4 linked regions of the Saccharomyces cerevisiae S288C genome follow. The gene in region 1 interacts genetically with each later gene. Each region holds a gene or a part of one and is shown in the gene's direction. Other genes may lie near its edges.

Region 1 (3,321 bases):
TTTTTGTATAGTCTTTCGATGCTGGTAGCCAGCGACATTAGCTTGTTTAGGTCGGTCAACGCATTGTTAAAGAGAATGTCATTGTTCAAAAGCTGGTTTTCTCTAGATTTTTCCAAGCTTGATATGCCAATTCTGCTCAATTTAGTCTCAATAAATGGCACCTCATTGTTGTATTCGTGAGAACTAGCCCCTTTCCTCATGTCTACACCATTTACAGAAACCACATTCTGATTGAAAATATGCTTATTCTTTTCAGTGAGTATATTCTCCAAAGCCCTCTCTGTAGCTTGTGAAAACAATACGCCATCAGATTTGCGGAAACTCAATTGCACGAATTCTGTCGATGATCCTGTCGAGGACGAGGACGATAATGCCGAGTGCGAGCTCTTGTTTCTAGCCAGTGAATTTTTTTCTAGCTCAATATGGACCCTAGAATCATGAAAGTTTAGCCTGTTCAGCTTTGATCGTACTTTGGATGCATTAGGCAATCTGTGGCCGCAAATCTCGCAATTTCCTATTTGAGGATGATTAGCAAAAGTACAGGCGGGGCAAATGTTCTCAGAGTTCACTCCGAACTGATTCTGTGGGTTGGCGTTCGGGTCGATTGCATTAGAACAATTTATAGACGACTTGGTGAGCTCATAGTCCGCTGGCACACCGCAATTGATACAAATGGGTGTAGGTAGAGTGTCTTTAGTGAATTCCCCCTGCGTTTCGTTCGAAACCATACAGATGGGGCAGACCCACGTCGAAACAACGTCGGCACTTGCTGTTTCCGCACTTTTACCAAGTTCATCCTTACTGGAGGGGTCCTTGAAAAACAGGATCAGACGAGGTGATCTGGTCAAGAAGCCAGATGAATAGTTTACATACGCTAGATCGTCCAATTCCAACCCAAGCGAGTTCTGAGTGGGCTTTGCATCGTCGATGTAGATAATTCTTTGTGACGTTAAAAAGATTCTGCCCCTCTGTCGCTGTAGAATCTTAGATTTGCCATGGTAAAGACCTACGGACTGATCGATAAAGATATCTTTTTCACCTTCTCGAAGAAGAGGTTGGCCCGATGACGTAGTTTCCACATAATGCCAGTACTCCATCTTTTGAAAAAAAAAGAATGACTTTCAAAACACACTTCCTGATTCCTAGCCGAGGTCCCCTATTCTATCTTGGATGACCTTTTCTCTGCTTTTTTGTTTTTCAGTCTCCATCTTTTCCAGATGAAACATGTGAAACCCTTTTTCCTCTTCGTTGATCCTAAAAAAAGCGCGTCTGGAAAACAAGGCGAAGCTTCCTCACATGGAAAAGGCTTCTTAATATGTCGCTACGCCTCATTCCCATTGCATACAGAAAGCAAAGTAGTGCGTTTTGCGAACGTCACAGATCAAAAGTTTGGCCATGCATTGTCATTCTTTTTTTCTTACATACACTGCACCAGACATGTCGGTTCCGCCCCGCTAACGGTTAGTCAGCCACACATTGACGTACACTGTGAACAGCCTATTTCTTTCCATGTATCTCAGTGCCCAGCTTATGAGAACTGTCACAGCCTCCCACTTGACCCTCAGAGCCCTCTCCACTCCCCCCCTCTTTCAACATCGCCAGATAGCCGCCGTTGAATGGTGCGGGACAACCCGGCCTGGCCTGGCCAGGCAAAAAAGGACGCAGCACGCCTCGAGCGTTATTTCCAAATCGGGCGTACTATCAGCCAAGCCCAGCTCGGTATTTTTAGCGCTTCTCGCAGGAAAATTGGCTGAGAAGTATATATACGCGAGAATGTTGCTCTTCCATGTCTCAGTAGTCAATGAGTGTCCAGTGGTGTTTCATTCTGGACCAGTTGTTTGGAAGTAGAACTAAAAGAAACTAGATCAAGATCATACAACGCTGCGCAGTAGTGAAACTTGATTAAAGCAATAGAGAACTATTAAGAAAAAAACAAACACATCATCGAAGGACGCTATAAGCATGAGGAATTTTTTCACGTTATTTTTTGCAGCTATATTTTCGCTAGGAGCACTTATATTAGCCATTGTTGCATGCGCAGGATCAACGAAAAATTACAGTCCCATAAATAAAATTTACTGTGCAGAATTGGATCTGTCGCAGATGAAGGTATCGACGGTGCTCCCTTCTTTGAGTTCTGCTACGCTATCTTCGTTGGGCCTGCCCTCATATATAAATATAGGGCTTTGGTCGTACTGTACAGTGGACTCCTCGCATAACATCCAATCATGTTCTTCGCCTCACGGTATCCAGAATTTTAACCTATCGTCATTAGTGTATGACAATATCAACAACAATGAGGCTCTGGAGCTTATGGATTCCGTGGCCAGTGTTGTTTTGCCCGAAAAACTAAAAAGTAAAATGACATACTACAACAATTTGGTCAAGTGTATGTTCATTACCATTCTTATTGGTATTGTCTTGACCTTTGTGAATCTAGTGTTCAACGTATTGCGCTGGATCATCCACATAAGGCCGCTAACGTGGTTTGGTGCCTTTTTTTCATTTTTCGCCTTTGCCGCCCTATTAGTCAGTATAGGTTCGTGTTTGGGCACTTACTCATACATCAAATACATCCTAAAGCATAACTATAGTGATTACGGTATTTCAATGAGCATTGGTAGGAACTACCAGGGTTTGATGTGGGGGGCTGTCGTTGGAGCATTACTGAATTTCATTCTATGGTGTAGCGTGAGATCGAGGCCCACCGTCATCTATGCGAACGCTCCAATTGAGGAAAAACCATTGATTTGAATTTGAAAAAGGCAAGGTTATTAATTAATTTTTGTGTTCCGTTTCATATTAAATATGATTAAAATATATTGTCTATATACAATTCAGAAAATTATAATGAAGAAAATTAAAAGGATGGAGAATTGAAAAAATTTACGGGGTGATGTTGCATGATCTTCTTTTTATTATTTTACCTTGCAAAGTTTTTTTCAGCATCAATGGGGCTTTCGTGTTCTTCAATGATTCTTGAGGTAGTAGAGTCACTTTCTTGAACAGCTTTCTCAGCTTCCACGATGGCAGCTCCCTTTCTGCTGCTCCACCAGCAGTATGCAATGCAGAGAAATACAAGGACGGCAAATACAAATCCAGACCACATTAGGCCATAAAATGGAGAAGAGCCAGAAATAATGACATCGTAATTGTCCTTCTTGGAGCCGGATTTCATCATATTAAGGATGACGCTAAAGATTGTGCTTCCCAACCCGCTGAAAATACATATCCAACAGGAAATAAAGCCCAATGCCAACCATAATTTTTGACTCACCACGGAACGTCTACTTAGTAGCAACAAGAATACCATTAAGAAGA
Region 2 (4,219 bases), 570 kb from region 1:
AACTAGTCCGGCATTCGGTAGAGTACTTCCCGATGGGAAATACGTCAAGATTCCCTTCACAAAAAAAAAGAACGGCGACAATGGTGAACTCAGCAAGAGATCGAACGGCCATGAAAAATTTGTACTAGCTAACGAGCAAAGCTTTTATTCTGTTGAGCTAGCCATTGGTACACCTTCACAAAACCTCACTGTGCTGTTAGACACAGGCTCAGCTGACTTATGGGTTCCTGGCAAGGGAAACCCCTACTGCGGTTCTGTGATGGACTGTGACCAGTATGGCGTGTTCGACAAGACCAAGTCGTCCACGTTCAAAGCCAACAAGTCCTCGCCTTTTTATGCCGCTTACGGTGACGGAACCTATGCAGAAGGTGCATTTGGTCAAGATAAATTAAAGTACAACGAATTAGACCTCAGTGGTCTATCGTTTGCCGTGGCCAACGAATCTAACTCAACCTTTGGTGTGCTCGGGATCGGCCTTTCCACGCTTGAAGTCACCTATTCTGGAAAAGTCGCTATTATGGACAAGAGAAGCTACGAGTATGATAACTTTCCCCTGTTCCTAAAACATTCTGGAGCCATCGATGCAACCGCATACTCTCTTTTCCTAAATGACGAGTCACAGTCCTCCGGCAGCATCCTCTTCGGCGCTGTAGATCACAGCAAGTACGAGGGCCAACTGTACACTATCCCGTTGGTTAATCTTTATAAGTCGCAGGGTTATCAGCACCCGGTGGCGTTCGATGTCACTTTACAGGGCTTAGGACTGCAAACCGACAAGCGCAACATCACATTGACCACCACCAAGCTCCCAGCCCTACTCGATTCAGGCACAACGCTAACATATCTGCCCTCCCAGGCAGTGGCTTTGCTAGCAAAGAGCTTGAATGCCTCGTATTCCAAGACATTGGGTTATTATGAGTACACGTGTCCCTCGAGCGACAACAAAACCAGCGTGGCCTTCGACTTCGGTGGCTTCCGTATCAACGCTCCTCTATCCGACTTTACTATGCAGACCAGTGTGGGGACCTGTGTCTTGGCAATAATTCCACAAGCGGGCAACGCCACCGCTATCCTTGGTGATTCCTTCTTGAGAAACGCCTACGTGGTCTACGATTTGGATAACTACGAGATTTCCCTAGCTCAAGCCAAGTATGGCACGGGGAAAGAGAACGTCGAAGTCATCAAATCTACCGTTCCCAGTGCAATAAGGGCCCCCAGTTACAACAACACTTGGTCTAACTACGCCTCCGCCACGTCCGGTGGTAATATTTTTACCACCGTGCGCACTTTCAATGGCACCAGTACTGCCACCACTACGAGGTCAACCACCACCAAGAAGACAAACTCTACCACTACTGCAAAGTCGACTCATAAAAGCAAGAGGGCACTCCAGAGGGCTGCTACCAACTCCGCTTCCAGTATACGCTCTACCTTGGGTTTACTGCTAGTCCCCTCCTTACTCATCCTTTCCGTTTTCTTTTCGTAAAAAAAAACAATAGACACTATATATAGACACTTTTTCCTTTCCTTCTTTGCGCGATTTCAAGAGGAAAAGCATACTTAAATAAGAATATTCCTAAAACACACGTTCTGACGCGTCAATTAGATCGTCAGACCTTGCATGCAGCCAAGACACCCTCACATAGCACTGCCTCCTTCCTCCTCTTTTCTGTCACCACCTCACCTCCCTCGTCCACTCAACTGAGTGGCTTTTCGCTCCTTTTATACTGCGCCATGAGTAGTTTTCGTTTCACTGATGTGTCCGAAAAAATTGAGGTTTCATAAAAAAATTCGTGGACTTATTTATGGAGAAACAGGGAAATCCGACTACTTAAGAAAAGGGTGTCAAAGAGGATTTACTTTTTTCCTTCTTTTTGCATTTGTTCCTATTTCCGCAATTGGACGGTTATTAAGAAGAACGCAATTGGCTTTTCTGTATATTAAAATACATAGCGTAATAAAAAGATAAGGTGAACACCAAGCATATAGTATAATATTACCTACCACATATGAAACTGAAAACTGTAAGATCTGCGGTCCTTTCGTCACTCTTTGCATCGCAGGTTCTCGGTAAGATAATACCAGCAGCAAACAAGCGCGACGACGACTCGAATTCCAAGTTCGTCAAGTTGCCCTTTCATAAGCTTTACGGGGACTCGCTAGAAAATGTGGGAAGCGACAAAAAACCGGAAGTACGCCTATTGAAGAGGGCTGACGGTTATGAAGAAATTATAATTACCAACCAGCAAAGTTTCTATTCGGTGGACTTGGAAGTGGGCACGCCACCACAGAACGTAACGGTCCTGGTGGACACAGGCTCCTCTGATCTATGGATTATGGGCTCGGATAATCCATACTGTTCTTCGAACAGTATGGGTAGTAGCCGGAGACGTGTTATTGACAAACGTGATGATTCGTCAAGCGGCGGATCTTTGATTAATGATATAAACCCATTTGGCTGGTTGACGGGAACGGGCAGTGCCATTGGCCCCACTGCTACGGGCTTAGGAGGCGGTTCAGGTACGGCAACTCAATCCGTGCCTGCTTCGGAAGCCACCATGGACTGTCAACAATACGGGACATTTTCCACTTCGGGCTCTTCTACATTTAGATCAAACAACACCTATTTCAGTATTAGCTACGGTGATGGGACTTTTGCCTCCGGTACTTTTGGTACGGATGTTTTGGATTTAAGCGACTTGAACGTTACCGGGTTGTCTTTTGCCGTTGCCAATGAAACGAATTCTACTATGGGTGTGTTAGGTATTGGTTTGCCCGAATTAGAAGTCACTTATTCTGGCTCTACTGCGTCTCATAGTGGAAAAGCTTATAAATACGACAACTTCCCCATTGTATTGAAAAATTCTGGTGCTATCAAAAGCAACACATATTCTTTGTATTTGAACGACTCGGACGCTATGCATGGCACCATTTTGTTCGGAGCCGTGGACCACAGTAAATATACCGGCACCTTATACACAATCCCCATCGTAAACACTCTGAGTGCTAGTGGATTTAGCTCTCCCATTCAATTTGATGTCACTATTAATGGTATCGGTATTAGTGATTCTGGGAGTAGTAACAAGACCTTGACTACCACTAAAATACCTGCTTTGTTGGATTCCGGTACTACTTTGACTTATTTACCTCAAACAGTGGTAAGTATGATCGCTACTGAACTAGGTGCGCAATACTCTTCCAGGATAGGGTATTACGTATTGGACTGTCCATCTGATGATAGTATGGAAATAGTGTTCGATTTTGGTGGTTTTCACATCAATGCACCACTTTCGAGTTTTATCTTGAGTACTGGCACTACATGTCTTTTAGGTATTATCCCAACGAGTGATGACACAGGTACCATTTTGGGTGATTCATTTTTGACTAACGCGTACGTGGTTTATGATTTGGAGAATCTTGAAATATCCATGGCACAAGCTCGCTATAATACCACAAGCGAAAATATCGAAATTATTACATCCTCTGTTCCAAGCGCCGTAAAGGCACCAGGCTATACAAACACTTGGTCCACAAGTGCATCTATTGTTACCGGTGGTAACATATTTACTGTAAATTCCTCACAAACTGCTTCCTTTAGCGGTAACCTGACGACCAGTACTGCATCCGCCACTTCTACATCAAGTAAAAGAAATGTTGGTGATCATATAGTTCCATCTTTACCCCTCACATTAATTTCTCTTCTTTTTGCATTCATCTGAAAACCGTTGCACAAAGTTTAGACATTCACATCTCCAAGCCAGTTGGAGTTTCTGGCGGAAATCGTTGCTCTCGCTTGGGCAAAGTTTTTTTTTATTATTAATTTTTTATTGTTACGTTGGCGGTCTTCATTTTTACTTCACAATAGTTTATCTTACCCACTAAGAATAGGTTACCATTTATTCACATTTTTTTTTCTCATTCCTAGTATACTATTTACCTGGGATATGGCCTATAATCAAAGGCTTTAATATTCTAATAATTCGTTTGGCATCTAGAATAATCTATAAAGTATAGTCTATATACGTACATATTGATAATGGCGGTAGCTGCTGAACTAGTATTTCAAATTACCTTGTTTATCCCAGGTCGCCAGTTTCTCTCTCCTCAAGTGATATTGTGTTCGTATGTCCAGATAATTTTTGATGAACTGATCCAGGTCATCGGCTGAGTCAATGGACCTTGTGGTAGTTTCTAGCTGTGAACTCTCCTCATCAAGTTT
Region 3 (3,927 bases), on another chromosome or scaffold:
TGCTCCCTTGAAAGCGTTGCTGATTATTTCCTTTGAACCTGTTGCATTGTTGTATTGTTGTATTGCTGCTGATGTTTTAGGCACTTAGTATTAGATATTCCTAAGCCTCCCTCACCATAAATTACCTTTATTACTTGCATGACTATTATTAGCAGAGCATGTAGTATGGGACTCAAGACCGATATGATACACACCAAAGACGTAGGCACCGGCGATTAAATCAAAGGCTCCGATAGCCGAAAAGTGAGAAGAAAAAAAAAGGAAAAAAAGGAATTGTCCTAATGAGCGGTGTGGCCGACTTGCCATAATATCAGTTAGGGCTACTATCAATGTTTTATCTACGTTGGAGTAAGATCGTTTATCACTTCCATATTTGGACCAAATGAAAAGTTCAATCGGCCAAGTATTTCATGGATGGAATGACGTTTGGTAAGGAAGTGCTTTTTCTTTTTCCACATATTTTCCCTTTCTCTCGGGGAAATTTTGTTTCTAAACATAAAAAATAAAGCAACAGCAAAAAAGAGGGTCTGTCCAGCGAATAAGAAGAAAACCTCCTTTTCGGCTTTTGAAGATAGGTTGCAGTTGTCTGCGGGCACAAAATGGGCAATTTTTTTAATACTTTTTACGTATGAGACAAGATTTTTTTCGCCAATTATATCGCATGAAGAATAACCAGAGTTTTTCTCCGAACGTTAAGGGAGTTGAAGTAAAAATAAAGAAAGGACCAAATGAGAATGGGTATGCTTGGTCTTAGTCTTCGAATCAAATTCTGCTTCCCTGTTCATGGCAACGTCACCTCAATTATTTGGAAAGGGGGGGTTTTCCGACTTTATTTGAGATGACTTGAGATGTGTGTCAATGCTAGTATTTTGGAGATTAATCTCAGTACAAAACAATATTAAAAAGAGGTGAATTATTTTTCCCCCCTTATTTTTTTTTTGTTAGAATTGATCCAAATGTAAATAAACAATCACAAGGAAAAAAAAAAAAAAAAAAAAAATAGCCGCCATGACCCCGGATCGTCGGTTGTGATACGGTCAGGGTAGCGCCCTGGTCAAACTTCAGAACTAAAAAAATAATAAGGAAGAAAAAAATAGCTAATTTTTCCGGCAGAAAGATTTTCGCTACCCGAAAGTTTTTCCGGCAAGCTAAATGGAAAAAGGAAAGATTATTGAAAGAGAAAGAAAGAAAAAAAAAAAATGTACACCCAGACATCGGGCTTCCACAATTTCGGCTCTATTGTTTTCCATCTCTCGCAACGGCGGGATTCCTCTATGGCGTGTGATGTCTGTATCTGTTACTTAATCCAGAAACTGGCACTTGACCCAACTCTGCCACGTGGGTCGTTTTGCCATCGACAGATTGGGAGATTTTCATAGTAGAATTCAGCATGATAGCTACGTAAATGTGTTCCGCACCGTCACAAAGTGTTTTCTACTGTTCTTTCTTCTTTCGTTCATTCAGTTGAGTTGAGTGAGTGCTTTGTTCAATGGATCTTAGCTAAAATGCATATTTTTTCTCTTGGTAAATGAATGCTTGTGATGTCTTCCAAGTGATTTCCTTTCCTTCCCATATGATGCTAGGTACCTTTAGTGTCTTCCTAAAAAAAAAAAAAGGCTCGCCATCAAAACGATATTCGTTGGCTTTTTTTTCTGAATTATAAATACTCTTTGGTAACTTTTCATTTCCAAGAACCTCTTTTTTCCAGTTATATCATGGTCCCCTTTCAAAGTTATTCTCTACTCTTTTTCATATTCATTCTTTTTCATCCTTTGGTTTTTTATTCTTAACTTGTTTATTATTCTCTCTTGTTTCTATTTACAAGACACCAATCAAAACAAATAAAACATCATCACAATGTCTAGATTAGAAAGATTGACCTCATTAAACGTTGTTGCTGGTTCTGACTTGAGAAGAACCTCCATCATTGGTACCATCGGTCCAAAGACCAACAACCCAGAAACCTTGGTTGCTTTGAGAAAGGCTGGTTTGAACATTGTCCGTATGAACTTCTCTCACGGTTCTTACGAATACCACAAGTCTGTCATTGACAACGCCAGAAAGTCCGAAGAATTGTACCCAGGTAGACCATTGGCCATTGCTTTGGACACCAAGGGTCCAGAAATCAGAACTGGTACCACCACCAACGATGTTGACTACCCAATCCCACCAAACCACGAAATGATCTTCACCACCGATGACAAGTACGCTAAGGCTTGTGACGACAAGATCATGTACGTTGACTACAAGAACATCACCAAGGTCATCTCCGCTGGTAGAATCATCTACGTTGATGATGGTGTTTTGTCTTTCCAAGTTTTGGAAGTCGTTGACGACAAGACTTTGAAGGTCAAGGCTTTGAACGCCGGTAAGATCTGTTCCCACAAGGGTGTCAACTTACCAGGTACCGATGTCGATTTGCCAGCTTTGTCTGAAAAGGACAAGGAAGATTTGAGATTCGGTGTCAAGAACGGTGTCCACATGGTCTTCGCTTCTTTCATCAGAACCGCCAACGATGTTTTGACCATCAGAGAAGTCTTGGGTGAACAAGGTAAGGACGTCAAGATCATTGTCAAGATTGAAAACCAACAAGGTGTTAACAACTTCGACGAAATCTTGAAGGTCACTGACGGTGTTATGGTTGCCAGAGGTGACTTGGGTATTGAAATCCCAGCCCCAGAAGTCTTGGCTGTCCAAAAGAAATTGATTGCTAAGTCTAACTTGGCTGGTAAGCCAGTTATCTGTGCTACCCAAATGTTGGAATCCATGACTTACAACCCAAGACCAACCAGAGCTGAAGTTTCCGATGTCGGTAACGCTATCTTGGATGGTGCTGACTGTGTTATGTTGTCTGGTGAAACCGCCAAGGGTAACTACCCAATCAACGCCGTTACCACTATGGCTGAAACCGCTGTCATTGCTGAACAAGCTATCGCTTACTTGCCAAACTACGATGACATGAGAAACTGTACTCCAAAGCCAACCTCCACCACCGAAACCGTCGCTGCCTCCGCTGTCGCTGCTGTTTTCGAACAAAAGGCCAAGGCTATCATTGTCTTGTCCACTTCCGGTACCACCCCAAGATTGGTTTCCAAGTACAGACCAAACTGTCCAATCATCTTGGTTACCAGATGCCCAAGAGCTGCTAGATTCTCTCACTTGTACAGAGGTGTCTTCCCATTCGTTTTCGAAAAGGAACCTGTCTCTGACTGGACTGATGATGTTGAAGCCCGTATCAACTTCGGTATTGAAAAGGCTAAGGAATTCGGTATCTTGAAGAAGGGTGACACTTACGTTTCCATCCAAGGTTTCAAGGCCGGTGCTGGTCACTCCAACACTTTGCAAGTCTCTACCGTTTAAAAAAAGAATCATGATTGAATGAAGATATTATTTTTTTGAATTATATTTTTTAAATTTTATATAAAGACATGGTTTTTCTTTTCAACTCAAATAAAGATTTATAAGTTACTTAAATAACATACATTTTATAAGGTATTCTATAAAAAGAGTATTATGTTATTGTTAACCTTTTTGTCTCCAATTGTCGTCATAACGATGAGGTGTTGCATTTTTGGAAACGAGATTGACATAGAGTCAAAATTTGCTAAATTTGATCCCTCCCATCGCAAGATAATCTTCCCTCAAGGTTATCATGATTATCAGGATGGCGAAAGGATACGCTAAAAATTCAATAAAAAATTCAATATAATTTTCGTTTCCCAAGAACTAACTTGGAAGGTTATACATGGGTACATAAATGCAGATGCCAGTGAACTATGTTCAGCTTCTGGCCTTCGTTTGGTGGTTTAATCTATTTTTTATAAAAAATGACGCGGGCAGATTCAATTAGTGTCCTAAATTTATTCGCGTTTCAAGATTTCAAAGGATTGATCCTCTTATCAGAAACGATAAGTGCTACTCCGTCCT
Region 4 (4,248 bases), on another chromosome or scaffold:
TTCCTCCACCAGTTCCATAAAAAAATGATGGATCAGTGCAAAAAAATTTTATCATAAATCTGATGAAGTATACTAAGCTGAATAAGCTGTAGGCCTTATTTGCTTTTTTCATACCCTTGGTTGGTACGACAGTAAAGATTGGCAGGTTCGGAGATACAACTTTTTTTGAGGCTTAGAATGCTCGGCCTGCATAAAATGGCGTTAAAGTTGCGCACAGGCCCCGGAAACCCTGCCAAGGAATATTACATAAGTTGCAACATCTTTTTCCAATACATGGTTAGAGAGTTTTTAATCGTTATACTTTTTTCTCATTTGATTAAAAAATATAAAATGAATTGCGAAATTCTTCTAGAAATGCGTTACTATTTTACGGTTGGCATTGCAAGATTATTATAACTACGAAGCAGTGTTGGAAAATATCATCTGGGAAGAAATTCCTATTTCTTGGGAAGAATTACATGTGCATAAAAAGATAAAACCCTCGATCACCCAAAATTGACTTTGCGACTAAAAAGTGATTTTTTCAGCATATTGCATTTCAAAAAGTCGTTGTTTAGCACAACTCATAGAAAATAAATACTAGTATGATTCGGGAATTATTTATCAGTTAATTATAGGAGTACAGCCTTTTATAGAGTTGGCGAAGATAGCCAAAAGATAAAAGCTTTGACGTACGTCTGTAAAAAGTGCCTTTTCTGATCGAATCCAGTTGCTCAGATATCCGGGAAGTTGTTAGCATTCATTGCTTTTCTGCACTATATCAGCATATGAATGCTTTCAGTATTTTAATTTTACCCTTTCACGAAGTACGCCAGAAAATGATTGGAAACGTACTCAAAAACAAAGCAGGAAATAAGCGACGAAAATTTTTCATTTCAATTAAGAGGTACTGAGCGGCTACTTAACTTTTTCTGCAGTAAGTAATGACAGAGTATCACTACAGAATTCTGTGCCTCCGGTCTGGGAATGCAGCTAGGGAGACAGCACCCTTTTGCTAATAATGCGCCGGAAATGAAACATTTAGATAAAATCTAAAGTTACGAAAACAATACACTTTGAGGGAAAGATATCAGAGAATTAAAAGCTGCAAAGAACTATGACAAATTAACCGCTTTGTTGACCCTAGATCATAGTTTACACTGCGAACGGGATAGTTGCAACCTCTTTTGTAAAATGCACCCATATCTCATTTTGCCTTTATTTCGGGTGTATAATAGGAGAAAAATTTGAATGGTAAAGAATAAGTCCCTTGCGAGTGTCAAGAGAAGCACAATTATTATTACTATTGGTGACGTGATTGAACTCGAGAATTTTCCTGGACCGATATTTGAGTTTTACGTGGAATGTGGGTGTACCTCATCTCAAAGAATTGGCGAAAAGCCAAACTTCTTAATTCTAACAAAAGCTACTGATTCGTTGGCGATGAAAGACTCTTTTTTTTGGCTGTCAGAAGCTTTCATCTTTGACATAGATGTACAGAATTTGATCAATTGTTTATATTAAAAGATTCGTCGCAACTTATATAAGGTGGCAAGAGAATGATTAACTTCAATTGCTGATGAACGTTCTCAATTCAAAAATTATAAGACACAAGGAAAACAATGTATTGGGTCCTCCTTTGTGGTTCTATTTTGTTATGCTGCTTGTCAGGAGCAAGCGCCTCCCCTGCTAAGACAAAAATGTACGGCAAGTTACCACTGGTTTTGACAGATGCCTGCATGGGAGTTCTCGGCGAAGTAACCTGGGAGTATAGTAGTGACGATTTATATTCCTCACCAGCATGTACATATGAACCGGCATTACAGTCAATGTTGTATTGTATTTACGAATCATTGAATGAAAAGGGTTATTCCAATAGAACCTTTGAAAAAACCTTTGCTGCTATCAAAGAAGACTGCGCATATTACACTGATAACCTTCAGAATATGACTAATGCAGATTTCTATAATATGCTGAATAATGGAACAACATACATAATACAGTATTCTGAAGGTAGCGCGAATCTTACGTATCCAATCGAGATGGATGCCCAAGTGAGAGAAAACTATTATTATTCTTACCATGGTTTCTACGCCAACTACGACATTGGTCATACTTATGGTGGTATTATTTGCGCCTATTTTGTAGGTGTTATGATTCTTGCCAGCATACTCCATTATCTAAGTTACACTCCGTTTAAAACTGCCTTATTTAAACAAAGACTTGTAAGATATGTGAGAAGATATTTGACAATACCTACTATCTGGGGTAAACATGCGTCGAGCTTTTCTTACCTTAAAATTTTTACAGGCTTCCTTCCCACACGATCTGAAGGCGTCATTATACTTGGATACCTCGTGCTTCATACAGTTTTTCTGGCATACGGGTATCAATATGATCCTTACAACTTAATTTTCGACTCTCGTAGAGAACAGATTGCTCGATACGTGGCAGATAGAAGTGGTGTCCTGGCATTTGCACATTTTCCCCTAATAGCTCTTTTCGCAGGAAGGAACAATTTTCTAGAATTCATTTCTGGAGTAAAATATACCTCTTTCATAATGTTTCATAAGTGGTTGGGAAGAATGATGTTTTTAGATGCTGTGATTCATGGCGCTGCTTATACCAGTTATTCCGTATTCTACAAAGATTGGGCAGCAAGCAAGGAAGAGACATATTGGCAATTTGGAGTAGCTGCTCTTTGTATAGTTGGTGTTATGGTGTTTTTTTCTTTGGCAATGTTCAGAAAGTTTTTCTATGAAGCCTTCTTATTTCTCCATATTGTGCTTGGCGCATTGTTCTTTTATACGTGTTGGGAGCACGTCGTAGAATTGAGTGGGATTGAGTGGATATACGCTGCTATTGCTATCTGGACTATTGATAGGCTAATTCGAATTGTTAGAGTATCTTATTTCGGTTTCCCTAAGGCTTCCTTACAGTTAGTTGGCGATGACATCATTCGAGTCACAGTCAAACGACCAGTAAGGCTATGGAAAGCCAAACCAGGACAGTATGTTTTCGTTTCATTCCTACACCACCTGTATTTTTGGCAGTCACATCCTTTCACAGTCTTAGATTCAATTATCAAAGATGGTGAGCTGACTATTATCCTGAAGGAAAAAAAGGGAGTAACAAAACTTGTCAAAAAGTATGTGTGTTGCAATGGAGGTAAGGCATCTATGAGACTAGCTATAGAAGGTCCATATGGCTCTTCATCTCCAGTCAATAATTATGATAACGTCTTGCTACTTACGGGAGGTACTGGTTTGCCAGGGCCCATTGCACACGCCATTAAACTTGGAAAAACGTCAGCGGCAACTGGAAAACAATTCATAAAATTAGTGATTGCAGTTAGAGGGTTTAACGTACTCGAGGCTTACAAGCCGGAGCTGATGTGTCTAGAAGATCTTAATGTACAGCTTCACATCTACAATACAATGGAAGTTCCGGCATTAACTCCTAATGATAGTTTGGAAATTTCTCAACAAGACGAGAAGGCCGATGGAAAAGGTGTTGTTATGGCAACTACCCTAGAACAGTCACCTAATCCAGTTGAATTTGATGGTACTGTTTTTCATCATGGAAGACCCAATGTTGAAAAGCTTCTGCATGAAGTTGGTGACCTAAATGGATCGTTAGCTGTGGTTTGTTGTGGGCCTCCTGTTTTCGTTGACGAAGTAAGGGATCAAACGGCAAATCTTGTTCTAGAGAAGCCTGCAAAGGCAATCGAATACTTTGAAGAATACCAAAGTTGGTAATCAATTACCTTATTTATTTCCTCACTATTTTACCTATCACAAGTATATATTTAATTGTTTTGACCTGAAACATAATTTATGTCTAGCTGCAATGAAGACAATTGATCGACTTTCACAAACTTTTTCAATCTACTAATCTTTGGAAGCATTTTTTAACTGTCTCCCACTCTTGTTCCATGACTTAAATTTCTCTTCCTCCAAATTAACTGAATTTTTTTTCTGGATTGATGTTCTTTCCAATTGTTGTGGTAATCCACAGCTGGTATAACATAAAAAGAAGTTTTTTGTAAAAAAAAAAAATTTCTCAGTAAGCATATAAGCCTCAGTGAAATAAAATTTTAACAACTACACGCTATTCTATTCCATTTGCCCTGCTTTTCTCGCTTCGTTATCACCTAACCACTAAGAACATACTAATAATACAAAATTTTTATCCACTTTTTACCAACAGATTTTCATGAAATATCCATCTTCTTTCCGAATTCTGTATAAAATGAAAGAGAGATTTTTT

The links.
Region 2: mutations in PUN1 (region 1) and YPS1 together harm fitness more than expected from each alone (negative genetic interaction), as found in Saccharomyces cerevisiae (one large-scale study listed by BioGRID).
Region 3: mutations in PUN1 (region 1) and CDC19 together harm fitness more than expected from each alone (negative genetic interaction), as found in Saccharomyces cerevisiae (one large-scale study listed by BioGRID).
Region 4: mutations in PUN1 (region 1) and FRE3 together harm fitness more than expected from each alone (negative genetic interaction), as found in Saccharomyces cerevisiae (one large-scale study listed by BioGRID).

Annotation. Positions count from the first base shown.
Region 1 is NC_001144.5:952,786-956,106, reverse strand, and holds PUN1 (Pun1p), read left to right. Parts: upstream 1-1,962; coding exon 1,963-2,754; downstream 2,755-3,321. Other genes in the region: ESCRT-II subunit protein VPS36, read right to left, coding at 1-1,097; YLR415C (uncharacterized protein), read left to right, coding at 1,510-1,848; INA1 (Ina1p), read right to left, coding at 2,924-3,321. UniProt on the Saccharomyces cerevisiae protein: Contributes to the wild-type cellular response to nitrogen stress through signaling pathways that regulate the expression of genes involved in amino acid biosynthesis. Required for wild-type filamentous growth, cell growth, and cell-cell adhesion.
Region 2 is NC_001144.5:386,011-390,229, reverse strand, and holds YPS1 (aspartyl protease), read left to right. Parts: upstream 1-2,009; coding exon 2,010-3,719; downstream 3,720-4,219. Other genes in the region: YPS3 (aspartyl protease), read left to right, coding at 1-1,486; ESCRT-I subunit protein SRN2, read right to left, coding at 4,055-4,219. UniProt on the Saccharomyces cerevisiae protein: Cleaves proteins C-terminally to mono- and paired-basic residues. Involved in the shedding of a subset of GPI-anchored plasma membrane proteins from the cell surface, including itself, GAS1 and MSB2.
Region 3 is NC_001133.9:69,929-73,855, forward strand, and holds CDC19 (pyruvate kinase CDC19), read left to right. Parts: upstream 1-1,857; coding exon 1,858-3,360; downstream 3,361-3,927. Other genes in the region: YAL037C-A (uncharacterized protein), read right to left, coding at 3,498-3,590.
Region 4 is NC_001147.6:1,053,944-1,058,191, forward strand, and holds FRE3 (ferric-chelate reductase), read left to right. Parts: upstream 1-1,601; coding exon 1,602-3,737; downstream 3,738-4,248. UniProt on the Saccharomyces cerevisiae protein: Siderophore-iron reductase responsible for reducing extracellular iron prior to import. Catalyzes the reductive uptake of Fe(3+) bound to di- and trihydroxamate siderophores.